Danio rerio: one gene and its partner. Each later gene encodes a partner of the first gene's protein in a complex. Links are inferred from orthologs where the notes say so. Each region holds a gene or a part of one and is shown on either strand. Other genes may lie near its edges. The genes, in order: nup93 and nup62l.

Region 1 (13,060 bases):
GAAGAAAACAAAGCCGTAACTGGACGACAAAGTTGCACTTGGGAGAAAGCTGAAAGACATAAAGCTTTAACAGAGACATGTATGCAACGCTGATAAATAAAAAGGCAATAGTGAAGAAGTTGAAACAACTGAGAGATTTGGAGTCACAATTGGAAGATTTTCAATTGAGTGATATTAAATTGCAATTTATACAAAAGATGTAAAGTCATTAAAGAGAAATATACTGCATAAGCTGCTTGAAGATACAAAGTCACAACTTTTAACTATTAAGAGACAACTAAGAGATATAATGTAGAAGTCACAGTAGTGATAGCCACAATAGAGAGATACAAACAGTTGCAAACGGGAAATGTAAAGTCACAACTGGGAGATACAAAGGTCACTATTAGAAGATATAAATGACAGCAAATGGGAGATATATAGTAGCTACTGGGAGACATAAAGTCACTACTGGAGGTATACAGTTGCAAATACAATATTGACCACCTTCTGCAATACAAAAGTGTAATTTTTTTCTTTTTTTCCAACTTATTTATGCTATTGTTTTAGAGCTTCGATTCATTTGCCTATGGGAGAAATGACTAGGAATAATAAACGGCAGAAAACTATCAAACTGCTTGCTCTACAAAACAAATGTGTTCATGACTAAACATAAAAAGTAAAATAATTCATTCATTTTCTTTTCGGCATAGTGTCCCTTTATTAATCCGGGGTCGCCACAGCGGAATGAACCTCCAACTTATCCAGCACGTTTTAACGCTCTCATTCACATTCATACACTAAGGACAATTTAGCCTACCCAATTCACCTGTACCGCATGTTTTTGGACTGTGGGGGCAACCGGAGCACCCAGAGAAAACCCACGTGAAAAGGGGAGAACATGCAAACTCCACACAGAAATGCCAACTGAACCAGCCGAGGCTCGAACCAGCGACGTTCTTGCTGTGAGGCGACAACACTACCCACTGCATCACAAAGTAAAATAATATAAAATGAAAAAATCAGTTTGCAACATTAAGCAGCATAACAAGCTGTTATTAACATCTAAAAATCTACAGAAGTGAATGAAACCGGAAGTCTTGAGCCAAAAACATTCCAATGGCAGCACCCGCTCATATGTGAAGAATATGGTCAATACAAAGTTGCTCTTGGGTGATACAAAATAGCAACGGGGAGACGAACAAAAGTCTTCCAAACTGGAAGAATTTTAGTAAGATGTTAAGTCACTATTGAAAACGGGATATAGCAACTGGAAGACACAAAGTCACTATTGGGTGATATAAAGTCATGACTGGAAGATATAACTCTCCATTGGAAGGTAGAAAGTAAAAATAGTGCAATATAAATACAAACAGATTTGAGATTAAATCCGAGAGCTCCTTCATCTTCCATAGACAGCAATGTTGAAAGTCCAGAAAAGGAGTCAAAAACATTGTCTAACACTCCATATGACTTTAATGCTTCAACTGTAATCATATGAAGATCCAAGAACACTGTTGTGTGTCACAAAACTGTAAACACAACTTTGTTAGCCAGTGTCTTCTCTGGTCTGGTCATTAGGGTGCATGGTGCAATATGACGTATTAGTATTAGATTTTGTATTCCCCATATCTTTGCATGATTTGTATGTTTTTGCTTCCATTTCTGGACTTTAAACATTGCACAACCTTTGCTGTAAATGGAGCTTCAGACCGCTCTTTTATTTAATCTAAAATATCTCAATTTGTAGGGCGTCAGTGGATAGCACGATCGCCTAACAGCAAGAAGGTCGCTGGTTCGAGCCCCGGCTGGGTCAGTTGGCGATTCTGTATGGAGTTTGCATGTTCTCCTCGTGTTCACGTGGGTTTGCTCAAGGTGCTTCGGTTTCCCCCACAAGTCCAAAGACATATTGTATAGGTGAATTCGGTAAGCTAAATTGCCCGTAGTGTATGTGTGTAATTGTGTGTGTATGGATGTTTTCCAGTGAGGGGTTGCAGCTGGAAGGGCATTCGCTGCAAAAAACATATGCTGGATAATTTATTCCGCTGTGGCGAGACCAGATTAATAAAGGGACTAAGGCGAAAAGAAAATGAATGAATCTTAACTTGTTCTTCAAAAATGATTAAAGGGTGGAGACTGGAATGACATGAGGATGAGTAATTAATAACGGAATTTAGATTTTTGGGTCAACTAATACTTTCAGTTGAAATTTTGAAACTTGAATAGAATGTTGAAACTCATAACACATTTTAATAATTCATAATTGTTAGATTTAGTCATAAATAATAGTCGTAAATAGTCAGTTTAGTCATAATTTTTTTTTTAATGTTTAGAAATACTGGTAACACTTTACAATAAGGTTGTATTAGTTAATGCATTTACTAATGAACAATACACAGTAAAGCATGAATTTGAATGTTACTTATGCACTATACAACGTTGAACTATGATTAATAAATGCTGTAGAAGCATTGTTTATAAGTAGCTCATGTTAATCAATACATAAACTAATGAAACCTTATTGTAAAGTGTGACCGAAATACTTAGTTTCATAATGCTCACCTTTCAGCAATAGCCACTGCCATGTTTTTGAGTCGCTCTTTGTTGGACTGAGGTTCGCTGACTTGAGCGATGACTGGACTCAACAATTTATTCATCAGCTCCAAAACCTTATCAGCATTCTGGAGCAGGAAATAAAAAAAAATGTTTTAGGCACAATTACAAGAGACTGCTAAACCCAAAGGTCCGTCTCAGCTTATCTTACCTTGGCTAACTCGTAGAGTTTGACGGCCTCCTCAAACAATCCCTTGTTCTCGGCCTCAGAGGCTACTTTGGTAATGATGGCCCGCGTGTCTCCGGCAAACTTGTCAATCACACCAGGCTGAATGGATTCAAACAAACACTGCTTAGAGCAAGCAGGACTCTGAATGCACAATGGTGTTTGTCAATAAGCCTTGAGCATGAAAAGCCGGAGTGTGTTGTACAGGCCCTGCGAGACAATAGCACATTCTACACAACCCTGAAAGCCTGAACGAACAAGCTTTTCACAATGGGTTCCAAGAATGAACAGTGGGCACGTTCGCTGTCTGCCAGTCAGGTGATATTACAACAAAAGCCTCCAACATACCTTTCTGCTTCCATCTTTTTCAAGCCTTCCAAGAAGCATATCGAACTGCAGGAAGAGAGTTAAGTATTGACAGGAATTATGTAATGATAACAGCAATTAGTATGCAGAAACCCTTCCTCCAATGAGCTTACAAAGTTTCTTACCTCTCGACTCTCGATGACTAGCTCGCTGACACAGCGCATAAACATGTTTTCTCCTTGACTGTCCTTCTCATTCCTGTGGCCAGTAGGAGAGCAGTGATTGTTAGTTTGTTGCAGTACAGCAATTATCCAGTTTGTGGCATAAAAGATTCAAAGGAACATGTTCGCTTTGTGACATGCATGCAAACCCTGAGATAAAAGACCTTAAGAAGATCAACTGCTTCCTTTTTGTACTAGTGGCTGTGGGGTCTTTTAAAACAATGGGTCGAGTTAGCATCGAATTCACAGTGTGCATGAAGCAGGTTTAATTATTCATGGATCATTCATGGAAGGTTCTGAGTTATTCATGACACATTAATCTCTTCTCGGAGAGGGATTTCCGCACAGTATATTCAGAGAAAAAGACATGACTTACAGTTCAGCCACTGATCAAACAGGAAACAAGTTTATTTCATAATAGCTTTGTATAGGCTTCCTTAATAGCTGTTCAACGTATCTAATCTAACATCAGCTCTTTTAGTATGTTACTCCAAATAACCCAATAGCATTACTTAAAGGCTGACGAAATCCTCTACTAAATTTGATGAGGCTTTTACAGCTTTATGTTTGTTGAACAATAATGTTAGCATCTGTTAGTTTTAATTGTAAGGAACTACTAGCTTTTGAGCTAGTTTCATCTTGCAGGTTTAAAATCTCTATCAGTGCAGCATTACTGATAGTGACGTACAATAGGACTGTGAGTACTTCGATGATGCATCTGTCTCCAATTATTATTCATGAGACTGAGTTTTTTTTTATCCCATAAGAGTTACTGATTCTGAATAATTTATTCAAGCTGTGAGAATGTGCAGCAAGGTGTTCACAATGGGTTGCGATGCCAATTAGAGCTAAAGATCATTTTAGACAGGGTTGGGGCAGGCTCGGGCTTGCATGGTAAATTAATAGTCATGTAATGCATTTCAATTAGTGTGAGAAAGTAATCAAATCGTTTGTTACAGCCTTGCAAAGGTGAAACAAATGATAACAGAGAAGTCAAAAAGAGCAAGTTTTGTGGAGTGGGAATTGATTGGTCATGCGCTCACTGATGGTGCATCCAACAGCACTGATCACCCTTTCACTGCTGCTGCTACAGGCCGGGAGGCATACTGATCTGGCTAATTTTGCAAGTTTTAGGTAGGATTGTTTGTTCATCTTCCACCAGCCAAGAACATTTATTTCATTTTCCATGGCAGCAGTTTCAATGTCCTCTTTTTCCAGGACTGATTAAATAATTTTCCTCCACAAAAACACATAGCATAATCTTAATGAGTGAAGAATTTTCAAATTATAATTAAATATTAATTAAATAAAAAATGCATAATGTAGTTAGAGTACACAGGCTAATGCTGGCATTATTATTTTAACATTCAGCTTCGCCTTAAGGCCAGATTGTGAAGAGCAGTGGTGAAACAAATCCCGCAGAACCTTCATCTTAATTTCGGTATTGCCAAATACCTGTCATTAATTTATTTGTTAGGAAAGAGGACTTATTTTATTTCTTTGTTCCAACTTCTAAGTGGCCTATAGCCTACGTTTGTTATGAATAAATGATGTTAAAACACAAATAAACGACTCATTCTTGAAAAAAAGGTAAAAGAGCTGTGTGCATGTGCACATTTGAATAATGTTAAACTTTTAAAAAGCTGTAAATCAAAATGTACTTGTCAGGCTCGGGCCGAATTCTGTCAGGCTATGGCCTAAATTGTTGGCCTTATTACTGCTCTAATGCCAATAGACATACTAAATTCTACAAATTTGTACTGAATTGTAAACAAATGTGACTATATCAGCATTTCCCATTGTACATTGAGCGCTGCTAAGCAAATTTTTAAGTCATTATGACAGTATGAAAGACAAACGACAGTTGTTTGCTGTGTTCTTTTTCTCCAGCTTTTCCCCATCACCCTCACTTCTCTTCCTTCTGCTTACAACTTTCCAAACCTATGTAAATAGCTTTTTCATTCTGAGATAGACCTAAACTGAAAAACAAAGGTTTTGTGACCCTTAAGTATAGAATGCCCATTACCGGAGAAAGTAGAAGTACTGCAGGGCTTCTCGCGGATCAGTGGACTCAAATTTGCGTGTGTACAACATAAGCAGCCTGATGAAGTTTAGCCGTCGCACCATTGGAGGATCTCCAGCTTCTTGACTCACTTAAAAAAAAAGATCAGAAAAAATATTACAAACAAGATAAATTTTTAAGTTCTCACTTAACGCTCAATAGTCACAACTTACAGAGTTGAGCGCTCTGTCCTGATGATTTGAGCAGGAGTTTGAGTTCGTACAGCACCAGAGCAACGTGAACGGCATGGCTGCGCAGACGCTCCACTCTGAAGAGAAACGCGATGGCCGCCTCAAACTGCGCCGTCAGGAAAAGCACTTGGAAGTACAAGAAGGGCTGGTGGCTGGCTGAAAAATGGGACTCACCTGCAGAAAACAATTCATGCCACACATCTTTATGAGCAAAACCACTTACAGAACACACATAAAGCACACACTGGCAATGGGCACATGCAGCCAGTACGGATTTGTCACATAAGGAATTTAAATGCTTCTTTAAGCGAGTAATAGGTTCCATGTAAATCTTCCTCGGCTGTGAAGTGCTTAAATAGGCTGTTTCATTTCCATTTGCGCAAGTTGAAATAATCCCCTCTCATTTAAATTGCCGTTAAAACTGACGTCTTAAAGCGGCATTGAAAAGACCCGCTGCGACTTTGCATGGAGCGTAATGGCAGCGCAGCTGGGAGTGAAGGAGTCTTATCAGCAAAAGAGCGAGTCTTTAATGTGGTGTACTGCAGGAGTGCCGGCGAGATAAGACTGACTCATCAGGCAGGTGGAGGAAACTAAGCGGATGCCTTTTTAAAACTGGGCGAGGAGAAGTTTAAGCCATGAGAAAACAGCACAATGACATGCACTTTTATCTGGGCTAGGCACACACTGGCAGAGACTGAATGGGAGGTTTTGCATACTGACTTACTTCCTAGTTTTTCAAATGCCCATTTAAACCTCTTCCTTTAGATAACTGGGATGACTTAATGGAATAATTTAAATCGTTTTATATGTAAAACTATGTACAGCATATATATATATATATATATATATATATATATATATATATATATATATATATATATATATATATATATATATATATATATATATACATACACACACGCACACACACACACACACACATACATTTTTACCAGTATTTAAGATCTAAAACATGGAATATATTCAATTCAATTCAATTCAGCTTTATTTGTATAGCGCTTTTACAATGTAGATTGTGTCAAAGCAGCTTCACATAAATGGTCATAGTAACTGGAACAGTGTGGTTCAGTAACTGGAACAGTGTGGTTCAGGTTTTAGTGTTTAAGTTCAGTTCAGTTCAGTTTAGCTCAGTTCAGTGTGATTTAATCATTACTGAGAGTTCAAACACTGAAGAGCCAATTCATCGATGTGTAGCTCTACCAATCCTGAACCATGCAATATATTATATTTACCCTTGCTGAATCAGTAGTTTATAAACTAGATGTAATACAAAACATCTACTATTTATGGCAAATACAGTAAACCAATTTGAATTCTCTTAATTTTTGTTTTGCGAGATGATTAGCTGGGTACAAGCCAAAAAATATTGTTTTTAAGCATCAAAACAATAGGTGTAATAAAGCTTTTAATGTATTTTTCTTCCAGTACATAAGAGTCTCCTGAGAGTCTGTCATTTTTGTGAAATCATAATCAGATATTAATTTATTCATTTTCTTTTTGGTTTAGTCCCCTTATTAATCTACCGTCACCCCAGCGGAATTAACTGCCAACTTATCCAGCATATGTTTTACGAAACGGATGCCCTTCCAGCTGCAACCCATCACTGAGAAACCCATACACTCTCATTCACACACATACACTATGAACAATTTAGCCTACCCAATTCACCTGTACCACTGTGGGGGAAACCGGAGCACTACCTACTGCGCCACTGCGCCACCATATTCAGACATATTAAACATAATTTTCTCAAATACACCTATAAAAATGCCATTCATTTTAACCTTGGTTTATATACCAAAGTCTTGTTTGTCATACTTATGTGCACGTCGAAATAACAACATCCTTTATTTTTCACATAAATATATATGTTACACTAAAAAAAGATTATTATTTTACACATATTTTAACATTTTCACAAAAGTCGATTGAATTATCAAAACAAACACTTTGTTACATTTAATATAATTTCTATGTATAAAACAATCTTTGTACAATTTATGACACAAATACCGAAATATCTAATCTCTGAGCCATAAATATGTACATTAGCAACCAAAAATTTATGTATAATAACATTTTTTTATGAATACATGTCCTGCTTATTTATATAAGTCACTGTGACTCTCACCATAGTCTTCAAGCAGCTGTTTCTGAAGTTGTGCCAAAGTCATTCGGTCCTGAGGGGAACTGCTGCCGTCCTCATCAAAACACACTTGATTCAGCTGGTAGGGACACACAGCACCATTTAAACTACTCAAATCAAGAAGAATCCAAGTATAAATCCCTTTCTTATTAGCATCTCTAAAACACTCTTTTTCATTGATCATCTAGTATTTGCATGTAAAAAACAACTATATTAAACTATGATAAATCAAAATCAGTCATCATTTCTGACCTTGAGCCACAGGTAATCCTCCGTCTTATCAGCCACCTCCCCATGATTGTCGCCGATGTCGCATTTGCCGATGAGACAGTAAACAGCACGCTTATAAGGGTCTGCGCTGTTCCTGAGCACACGCCGGTAATGCAGCCGTAGCTTATTCTCTGTGGCTGGCGACAAACTGAGAAGAATTTCAGAAATTCAGATTTAATTAATTATTCAGCTTCAATGTAATCTTATGCATGAAAGACAAAAAAAGGAGCAACCTAGGTCAAGCACGCAAGAGAAAGAAGCAGTTCCCAAAAATGGAGGAGAAACAGTCCTCTTAGGATGTGATCTAGTTTTTGGGGTATGTGTGTGTGTGTGTGTGGGTGTTCTCACCGTCGGTCAGGGCTGTTCATGTATTCTTGGAACCAGATCTTAAAGTCTCCCAGCTGATGCTGTGCCTTGTTCACCACCTGCATGGCGGCAGACAGATCTCCACAACGCAGGCAGAAATAGATCAGAGCCCACACCGGATGTCCCTCCACCTCGCCGTCCTGTTACACATGTGCACACGCAGCAGGCTTTATCCTCGGGTCACACCACATTCATTTACCCCCTTTTTACTTTCAGGTCTGAAATAAGCAGCTTACTGGCCCATGCAGGGAGACTCCGCTGCTATTATCTAAACTGCTGCAAAGCACACTCGAGAGTATCTGCAGTGATGGCGTTTAGTCTGTATGATGTAGTGTGGTGAGGGCACGTTTTACTGCAGTACCTGCATGCCTGGCAGCGGCGTCGGCAGCTTGATGTTCAGGAAGCTGCATACGAGCTGATAAGTCCCAGGCACTCCACCCAGCTGAGCCTGATGCAGATTCCCAAACACAGTGACCAGGGTGTAATTTTTATAGCTGTAGAAGAGAGAGACAAGCAGTTCGTTTTTCAACTGGATTAAGCAGACACCGGGTTCACAAACTTTCAGACCAGTTCATCTACATTACTTTTAATATAGAAATATACAGAATTATATACAGTTGAAGTCTCCTGGATTATTACCCCTTATATATTTTTCCCCAATTTCTGTATGAAGGAAATCAGATTTTTTCAACACATTTCTAAACAATAGTTTTAATAATTCATTTCTAATGACTGATTTATTTTATCTTTGCCATGATGACAGTAAATAATATTTTACTAGATATTTTGTCAAGACACTAGTATTCAGCTTAAAGTGCAATTTAAATTAAATTAGTTAATTGGGTTAACTGTGCAACATACAGTAATTAGGCAAGTCATTGTATAACAGTGGTTTATTCTTTAGCTACTAATTTTGACTTCAACTGTATATAGATTTTGTTTGTTTGTTTATTTATTGCAAAACCAGCAATGTATGGCTATTTCATGGAAAGATTAATAAACATAAAACCTTATTACATTACAATAACAACTTTATAATTTAATAGAAAAATAAATACTACATTAAAACATTAGATATACTTTTTTATTTCTATATAATGATAAATAACTTCTCCCCAGGTATACAATTCTTAAAACAGTAGTGTTCTCGGTGTACAAATCTTGTTTAGTAGTCTTTAAAATTTCATATTTTAATAACGTTTTATTGTAAGGAAGGCTTAACAGTGGTTATGTTGATATGAAAAGATGTTTGGCTGACTCATTATAAAATCACTCAAATCATAATTCATAAGTAGAAAACTAAGCCAATTAAATAGTTCAGATATGATATATACAGTGCTTAGCCTAAATAAGTACACCCCTCACATATATCTCTTTTAAATTAATATTTTCTATTAGATGCTTTACAATAATACATGTGTGCATATACATTAGATCAGTCAGTACCAAGGGCAAATCTGGAACTATTCTATAAGATAATATAAGAACTATAAGATAATGGTACAAAAATTTGTACAAAGGCAGCGCACTGACACATAGTGTAGCTCCATTGCGTTTTGAGCTTCCGAGTTCCCAATCCCAATAATGCAAAAAATATAAGCATCATAATAAATAACAAAATGTTATGCATCAACCATCTCACCTGTTCTCCAGGAACTGCAGGGCTTGTCTGACGAAGGCCATCTGCATGTCCACAGACACTCGACTCTTCAGAGTGTCTTTTGCTGGCACCAGCAGGACGTCTGTCATCTGCTTCACCATGAGCCACATTTCTGACACGTTCTACAAATGCATGCACAAACAACTTTACACAATCTCTATTAAAGCAATCACTCCCTCATTTTTCTGAACACATTCAGGAACACACACACAAACTGAGTGTTACAAACCTTATCATCCAGACTTTCGGCCACAGAGGCACACAGATCTCCCAGGTTTGGCTGAAGATGGCCATTTACTATCTTTTCATTGAAGACGTAGATCTAAAGGACAGAAGAAAGGTGCAGATTGAGAATGGACGAGCTGAGGCTGATCTGCTATGATCTGGAAGTGAAGTGAAGAATGATGAAAAACAAAACAAACAGGATGAAAATGTTTAGAAGGTCGTCGAAAAAAAGCACAAACACCAAGAAGATGACTCCGCAGGCGATGTGGCGACACATGATTACACAGAAAAAAAGACAAAGGCAATAAAAGAGTTATCGGACCATAAAGAGCCGAACAAAAGAAGTGAGAGTTAGAGACAGCCCTCCCATTTATGGACAGATCCAGAGCCTACCCATCATGCTTCTTTCCAGCCAATCAATCATTTCAATCAATCGAGCTCAGCTCACAAAACACGACACATTTATTTTTCTGTCTAGCTAACTGACAGAGAAAAAGATAAGCTTAACTACATAACAATGCAGACTTAGTAAAAAATATAATCAGGATTTCATGTTTTATCACTAGTGATTATACTTCTGCTTATTTTGAGTCTTTATTCCTTCTCTTTTTAATGTTTAAATAGGAATACCAAGATATATTTTCTAATATAAATTATTGCACTGCTGGCTCATTCTATAATATTGATTTATAACTCAATTTATAAATTATTGCAATATATTTCTATAGTGCTATTTAAAAAATAAGTTAAAAATAATGAATTTAATAAAATGTATTGGGCATAGATTAATTTATTTCCACCCAAAAAATACTCAGCATCCTTGGATTTACTAGATTCATTAGGCATGGGTTTGAGTAAAATTGTTATATTTGTTTTGCTTAAATATTAGGGCTACATAATATTGGAAAAATCTGACATTGCAATATTTTATTTTTCTGCTAGATATATTGTAATAAAATGCATCTACACAATTTCACCAAATGATTGAATAGCACTGGTTGGAAAGAATTCATAGTCGCACTTTATTTTAAGGCTCACTTCCCACAATTGGCCATCCATTAACTATGGCTTTTGCTTCAATAAACTTCTAATTTGTTGCTTATTAACATACATTAGGGTCCCTTAGGTATTGGCTTAGGTTTTGTAAATGTTAAAATTACGCTGCACAGTTTTTGATGTCTAAATAATTTAATACAATTATTCTTTATAAACTTCTAATTGGTATAATGTCTTGTGCCTAAATAACTAAATAACTCTCTCAGGTCTTAAAATCATACAAATGATACAATTTCACTCCATTATGTTTAAACTCTGCAGTAATTCCACAAATCTCATGTTCTGAACTGTGACTCTTCCTCAAATAAAATCCAAACTTAATATTGCATATCTATGCGATGTGACCATTGATATCAATACACACACACACACACACACACACACACACACACACACACACACACACACACACACACACACACACACACAGACAGACAGACAGACAGACAGACAGATAGATAGATAGATAGACAGACAGACAGACAGACAGACAGACAGACAGATAGACGGATAGACAGATAGATAGATGGATAGATGGATGGATAGATGGATAGACGGATAGACGGATGGATGGATGGATGGATAGACAGATAGATATAGATAGATAGATAGATAGATAGATAGATAGATAGATAGATAGATAGATAGATAGATAGATAGATAGATAGATAGATAGATAGATAGATAGATAGATAGATAGACGGATAGACAGATGGATGGATAGACGGATAGATAGATAGATAGATAGATAGATAGATAGATAGATAGATAGATAGATAGATAGATAGATAGATAGATAGATAGATAGATAGATAGATGATAGATAGATGGATAGACAGATAGATAGATAGATAGATAGATAGATAGATAGATAGATAGATAGATAGATAGATAGATAGATAGATAGATAGATAGATAGATAGATAGATAGAGATAAATATAGATATACAGATACACAGATAGATGGATAGACAAATATATAGATAGATAGAGATGATGGGATTCATGCTTCATGTTTTGATTTTATTTAGACTATTTATAAATAACATACATTTTTAACATGAATTTTTTAAAGATTATATATTTCTTCTATAATTTTCATTTCTTTTTTTACACATGGTTCTGCATGTGTGTTTATGCATTTATGCGCATTTATGTTTATGCTATACATGAATGTCTTTCTACAAACCTGTCGGCTATAGGCCACTTCCACACTGTCCAGCGCACTGCGTCCAGGAACTCCGACCTCGCTCACGAAACTGGGCTGTTGGGCACATAGCAACAGTCGTTAAGGCTCAAACAAGCATATCTACACGAGCAGGCTGTATTAATATTCTCCACATGTGTAGGTGTGTATATATGCGAGTCTCTAAAAGCGTGGGTTTGACAAGTGCACAAGCTGCGTTTATCTCGGAGAGTTTATCTCGCAGAGTAATCTAAACGCAGTGACCAATGTAGCGTGAAGCTATTGTGAAGAACATAACTCGCGCATGAGAGCACACTGCTCAGGACTGTGAACACACACAGAGGAAAACACAAAACCCACACATTTTCCTTGTGGATTAGAATAAATTCATTTTTAAAGAAATATAAATAAAGAGTGAGCACATTTGTACGCTGATAACCTACAAAAAACATGCTTATTTTACAATTTACGTGCAAATAAAACAAACTTTATGTTTAAATCTGTTCATTTCTATCCAATTTCAAGTATTTGTGACTGTCATGTTTAATAAATCCTCAAAAACCAAATATATGATCCTCTAAAGATGCAGAAT
Region 2 (4,154 bases), on another chromosome or scaffold:
TTATCTACTCAGCCTTTATAGAGTTTCTTTCTTCGGTTCGAGCACAAAAGGTGATATTTTGAAGAATGCTTTAAGCACTGCATTTTTTTCCAACTATGGAAGTCAATGGGTACCTGCAACCAGCATTTTGCAAATTATCTTCTGTGTTCAACAGATGAAAAACTCAAAGGTTTAAAACCACATGAGGGAGACTAAATGATGACGTTTTAATCTTAGGATGAACCATCCAGAGTCAACATCTACATGATCATTTTTAATTATAAGAATAGTTCTATTCTACAAAGTCAGGCAGCAAAACACAATTCATGATTTTATATCCTGTTAGGCTTCTTACACATTTTTCAAAGTCAAATTTGAGCATTTTCAAGCACACTGCAGATACAATTGTGGTAAATTACATATAAACATGCACATACACATACTGTACATACTTCATACTACAATATACCAGATACTATTTGCTATAGTATTCTGTGGTACTTTAGTATAGTATTTCAAGGACAAATTTTGATGGTATATTTGCCGCAAGCAGAGCAGCACGGTGAAAAGAACGCCTCACAGCAAGAGCAAAACTAATTATTTAAATAGTTCGCTAGAATTACCTACTTAAAAACAAATTATTATGAAAGCACCACAGAAGCACCAAAAAACACTAGATCAAAATTGAAGCATATTCAAGGATTTCCAGTGAAAAACCTGCTATGTATGGGACGATATTTTTAAGGTATACAGCGGTTGGAAAAAAGTCAAGGTTTTAAAACAGCCAAAATTTTCTGCAATACCGTTCCTAAGGTATGTGTACAATTTTTAATTTGTGATTTTTTTAGGACAATAATATCTCCAGCAGAGAAGATGTTTAAATTAAATTTAAACAAACAAAGACAGCAGAAGTCAATTTATTTGGCCTAACATGTTTACTGTTCCAAAATATTTAAAATGTTAGATATACTATGTTCAAAAGGGTAAAAAAGTTTTTGATTTTAACCCAGACATTTACAAAGAATATATTTTAGCGCAGTAATCCCAATACCTTGAAACAGTGATATTTTTATCCAAGGTTATCATACTAATATACATAATTTTATACCGGCCCATGCCTAAACCCTGCTTCATACACATAGATGAATTTGAAATATATTCCTAATTAATATAAAGCTGGAGCAGCAAAAATAATGGATTGAGGTAAAGTTGATTTTATATTCGCACATTCATTCTTTTTGAACAGTGACAACTTATGGCACGCTATCTATATTGTTTACCACGCTACTTTTGAGTATTTCCTCTGAAATAGCATGCAAGCGTGACTTCAAAACAACATTAGCACTATTTAATTGACTGTGATCAATGTTGTACTTTGAAAGCCACTTCTAATATGATTTACCTATTTAGAATTTGTCAAGTATATTAAGGAAAAAGTGCAGCACGGTGGTAGAGTGGGTAGCGCTGTCGCCTCACAGCAAGAAGTTTGCTGGTTCTAGCCTTGGCTGGGCCAGTTGGCATTTCTGTGTGGAGTTTGGATGTGCTCCCCATGTTCGGGTGGGTTTCCTTTAGGTGCTCCGGTTTCACCCACAGTCCAAACACATGCAGTATTGGTGAATTGGGTAAGCTAAAATGTCCTTCCATAGTTGAGGTGTCACATCCATAACGACACCTATCCGTTATAGATGTAACGGGTCAGAAATTGTAGAATATTAACAGATGCATTCTTGCGTATTTCTAAAGTACTGTAAAATACTTCTATAGTGAGCAACTCTTTATTCTTTTGATTAGCATTGTTTTGTTTGGGTTGTGCAGTTTACAGAATTTCTACAAAGAATGTTGTCTACTGTAAACCCGCAGACTTTTTTTTTGTCACATCCATATTGCATGTTTATTTTTCTCATATAAAGTACAAAACATGTTTACAGATCAATATTTTTCTGGTCCCGTAACTCTGTGGTCAGTAATTCTGAAAATATAAACAGAAGTTTTAATATAATGTTAACATATCATTTCTATGTGAATTTATGTTTTGAGCTTTACTGCAAATGTCACATCCATAACGCTGGAATTGCTCATATGTTGGATTAATTGCCGGTTAATTCCGCTGTGGTGACCTCAGATTAATAAAGGGACTAAGCCAAAAAGAAAAATGAATGAATGAAGGAAAAAGTCCGAATGTGCAAGTACAAAACCAACTTTACCCCTTTTAACGAATTAATAATTGTAACGTTATCTCATCATAACGTTACTTAGACATTGTTGTGGATGTGTGAAGTTAACCAACATTAACTCATCATTGTAGATCGTAATGCTCTTATGCGGAATAGGCTTAAAACACGTACCAAACCTTTCATCTAGATACGCACACGGTCAAGATATTCACCATTACAAACAACACGCAAATGTTCTTGGAGCTTTAAAAATTTGATTGCAAAAATGTGTACGTAAGCCACTCAGGGTTTGGGGACAGCGTTATGATGAGCAACTGAGCTCTATTATAAGATTATAGCTAAACTGTTGCAAGCAGCTGAGCAACTTACGTACAATTCTCTAGATATGAACATTTCGTGTGATAGACTCTTTAATATTATTGAACGCCATAGTAAGAGAACGGATATGTTTTTAGCTTCACTTCAGTGATAACAGCTAGCTGACAGTTCCTCACGTTACGCCAACTCAATGCAGATTTCTCCACAATTACATCACAAATGTACTTACTTTAAGATAGGTTGATCACATTACACATCACAAGGTGAAATAAAACACTTCAACAAATAAAATGTAAAATGATAAAGAACGTACAACTACTTCACAGCAGCTCCCGCGCACAGCATCCGTCACATGCGCAGTTTCTTTCAGGACCTTCGCGTCATCTGTCTAGGGTCTACATTCTGCCTGCTCAAAATTACAGACTTATGTGGCAACATCATCACATTAAAATAAAAGGTCGTAATAAGCCACAACATCAAATGATAAAGAAATCGTTATTATTTTATTTAAAAGGAATGTAGTTAGTTAATTTATTTTTGCATTAACTAAAAAGTCTATAAACATAATTGTTTATCAGCAGGTCGTGTGCACGAGTTCGGGGCGGGCACTGGTGAGGACAGTGATGAGGTTGGTGACCTCTCTCTCTCTTTTATTAGGTGCGTTCGACTTCATGCAGCGCTGCGCAGATCGATCGAAATCTGTCTTAAAGCGGTGCATTCTGGTTAGAAATCTTGTCCGGATTGATGCTGCGCCGACGCCACGTGACTGTCACATGTGGCATCAAAGTACCGCGACAGCGCTCCGAGATCAGACGGCAAACTCAGACCATGCAGCTTCTGAAGAGCGACTGCAGGAGCTTTGATGACGACACCGATATTACACGATTGGCCGAGTTCACCACATGACAACAAACACGTGTATTTCGGGTTTATAATTGGACAAATTCCGATTCAAAAGTTTCAAAACAAACAATTCACTTTTCACACCCTCTCTATCCTGTACACATCTTGCTTATTAAAAGACTACAAATATTTTACTGCAGTAATCATCTTTTGTTAAATAATCTGGTTATAAAGGTTAGCTTGTTTGCACAGGTTTATTTTTAAACTTTTTTATACAGACTATTTACTGCATTCATCTCCATGAACGATTTAAATGATATATTTTAGTGTATATTTTAGTGAATAACCTAAATATGAACTCAAATAAGTCTTACAGACTTGAAATAAGAAAATCATCATCATTGATCCTGCCACCCTAAAGCTCTCTTAACAAATTAAAGTAAAGAACTATTTTATTAAATAATTATAAAATGGCTTTATTATTATAATATAAATATATATTTTATTTTCTGTCTAGCAGTTTAAAGGCTGTATACCTGCTCTTTCTGGGAATCTTCTACATCGCTCACTTATTTTACCTTTTGTTCTTTTCAACACAATCTTTTTGGATTAAAATGCTTTTTTGAAAATTCATTCATCATCCAAAATAATGTCATTTATTAAGACCTAATCAAAACACCTTGTTTTGCTTTTTACATGGGAAATTTTTATATCTATAAATGTACATATATGTAAACCCTTTTTTAGCAGATTCAAACAAGAAGTATTAGCCTAAAGATTGATGTTTAACTCCTAGAATTTATGCTTATTGCTTTGTATTTAATAGACCTGTTCGTTTTT

The links.
Region 2: nup93 (region 1) and nup62l share a complex: the UniProt entries of both Homo sapiens proteins name them as parts of the p62 complex. The link is inferred for Danio rerio from reciprocal best matches to the Homo sapiens genes NUP93 and NUP62.

The regions. Positions count from the first base shown.
Region 1 is NC_133193.1:18,946,704-18,959,763, reverse strand, and holds part of nup93 (nuclear pore complex protein Nup93), read right to left. Parts: intron 12,547-13,060; coding exon 12,472-12,546; intron 10,324-12,471; coding exon 10,231-10,323; intron 10,124-10,230; coding exon 9,984-10,123; intron 8,836-9,983; coding exon 8,703-8,835; intron 8,482-8,702; coding exon 8,324-8,481; intron 8,124-8,323; coding exon 7,958-8,123; intron 7,785-7,957; coding exon 7,691-7,784; intron 5,713-7,690; coding exon 5,521-5,712; intron 5,439-5,520; coding exon 5,312-5,438; intron 3,323-5,311; coding exon 3,250-3,322; intron 3,152-3,249; coding exon 3,107-3,151; intron 2,861-3,106; coding exon 2,744-2,860; intron 2,661-2,743; coding exon 2,542-2,660; intron 1-2,541. UniProt on the Homo sapiens protein: Plays a role in the nuclear pore complex (NPC) assembly and/or maintenance. May anchor nucleoporins, but not NUP153 and TPR, to the NPC. During renal development, regulates podocyte migration and proliferation through SMAD4 signaling.
Region 2 is NC_133189.1:11,189,921-11,194,074, reverse strand, and holds the start of nup62l (nucleoporin 62 like), read right to left. Parts: upstream 2,801-4,154; 5' UTR 2,785-2,800; exon of another isoform or gene 2,701-2,784; intron 1-2,700. UniProt on the Homo sapiens protein: Essential component of the nuclear pore complex. The N-terminal is probably involved in nucleocytoplasmic transport.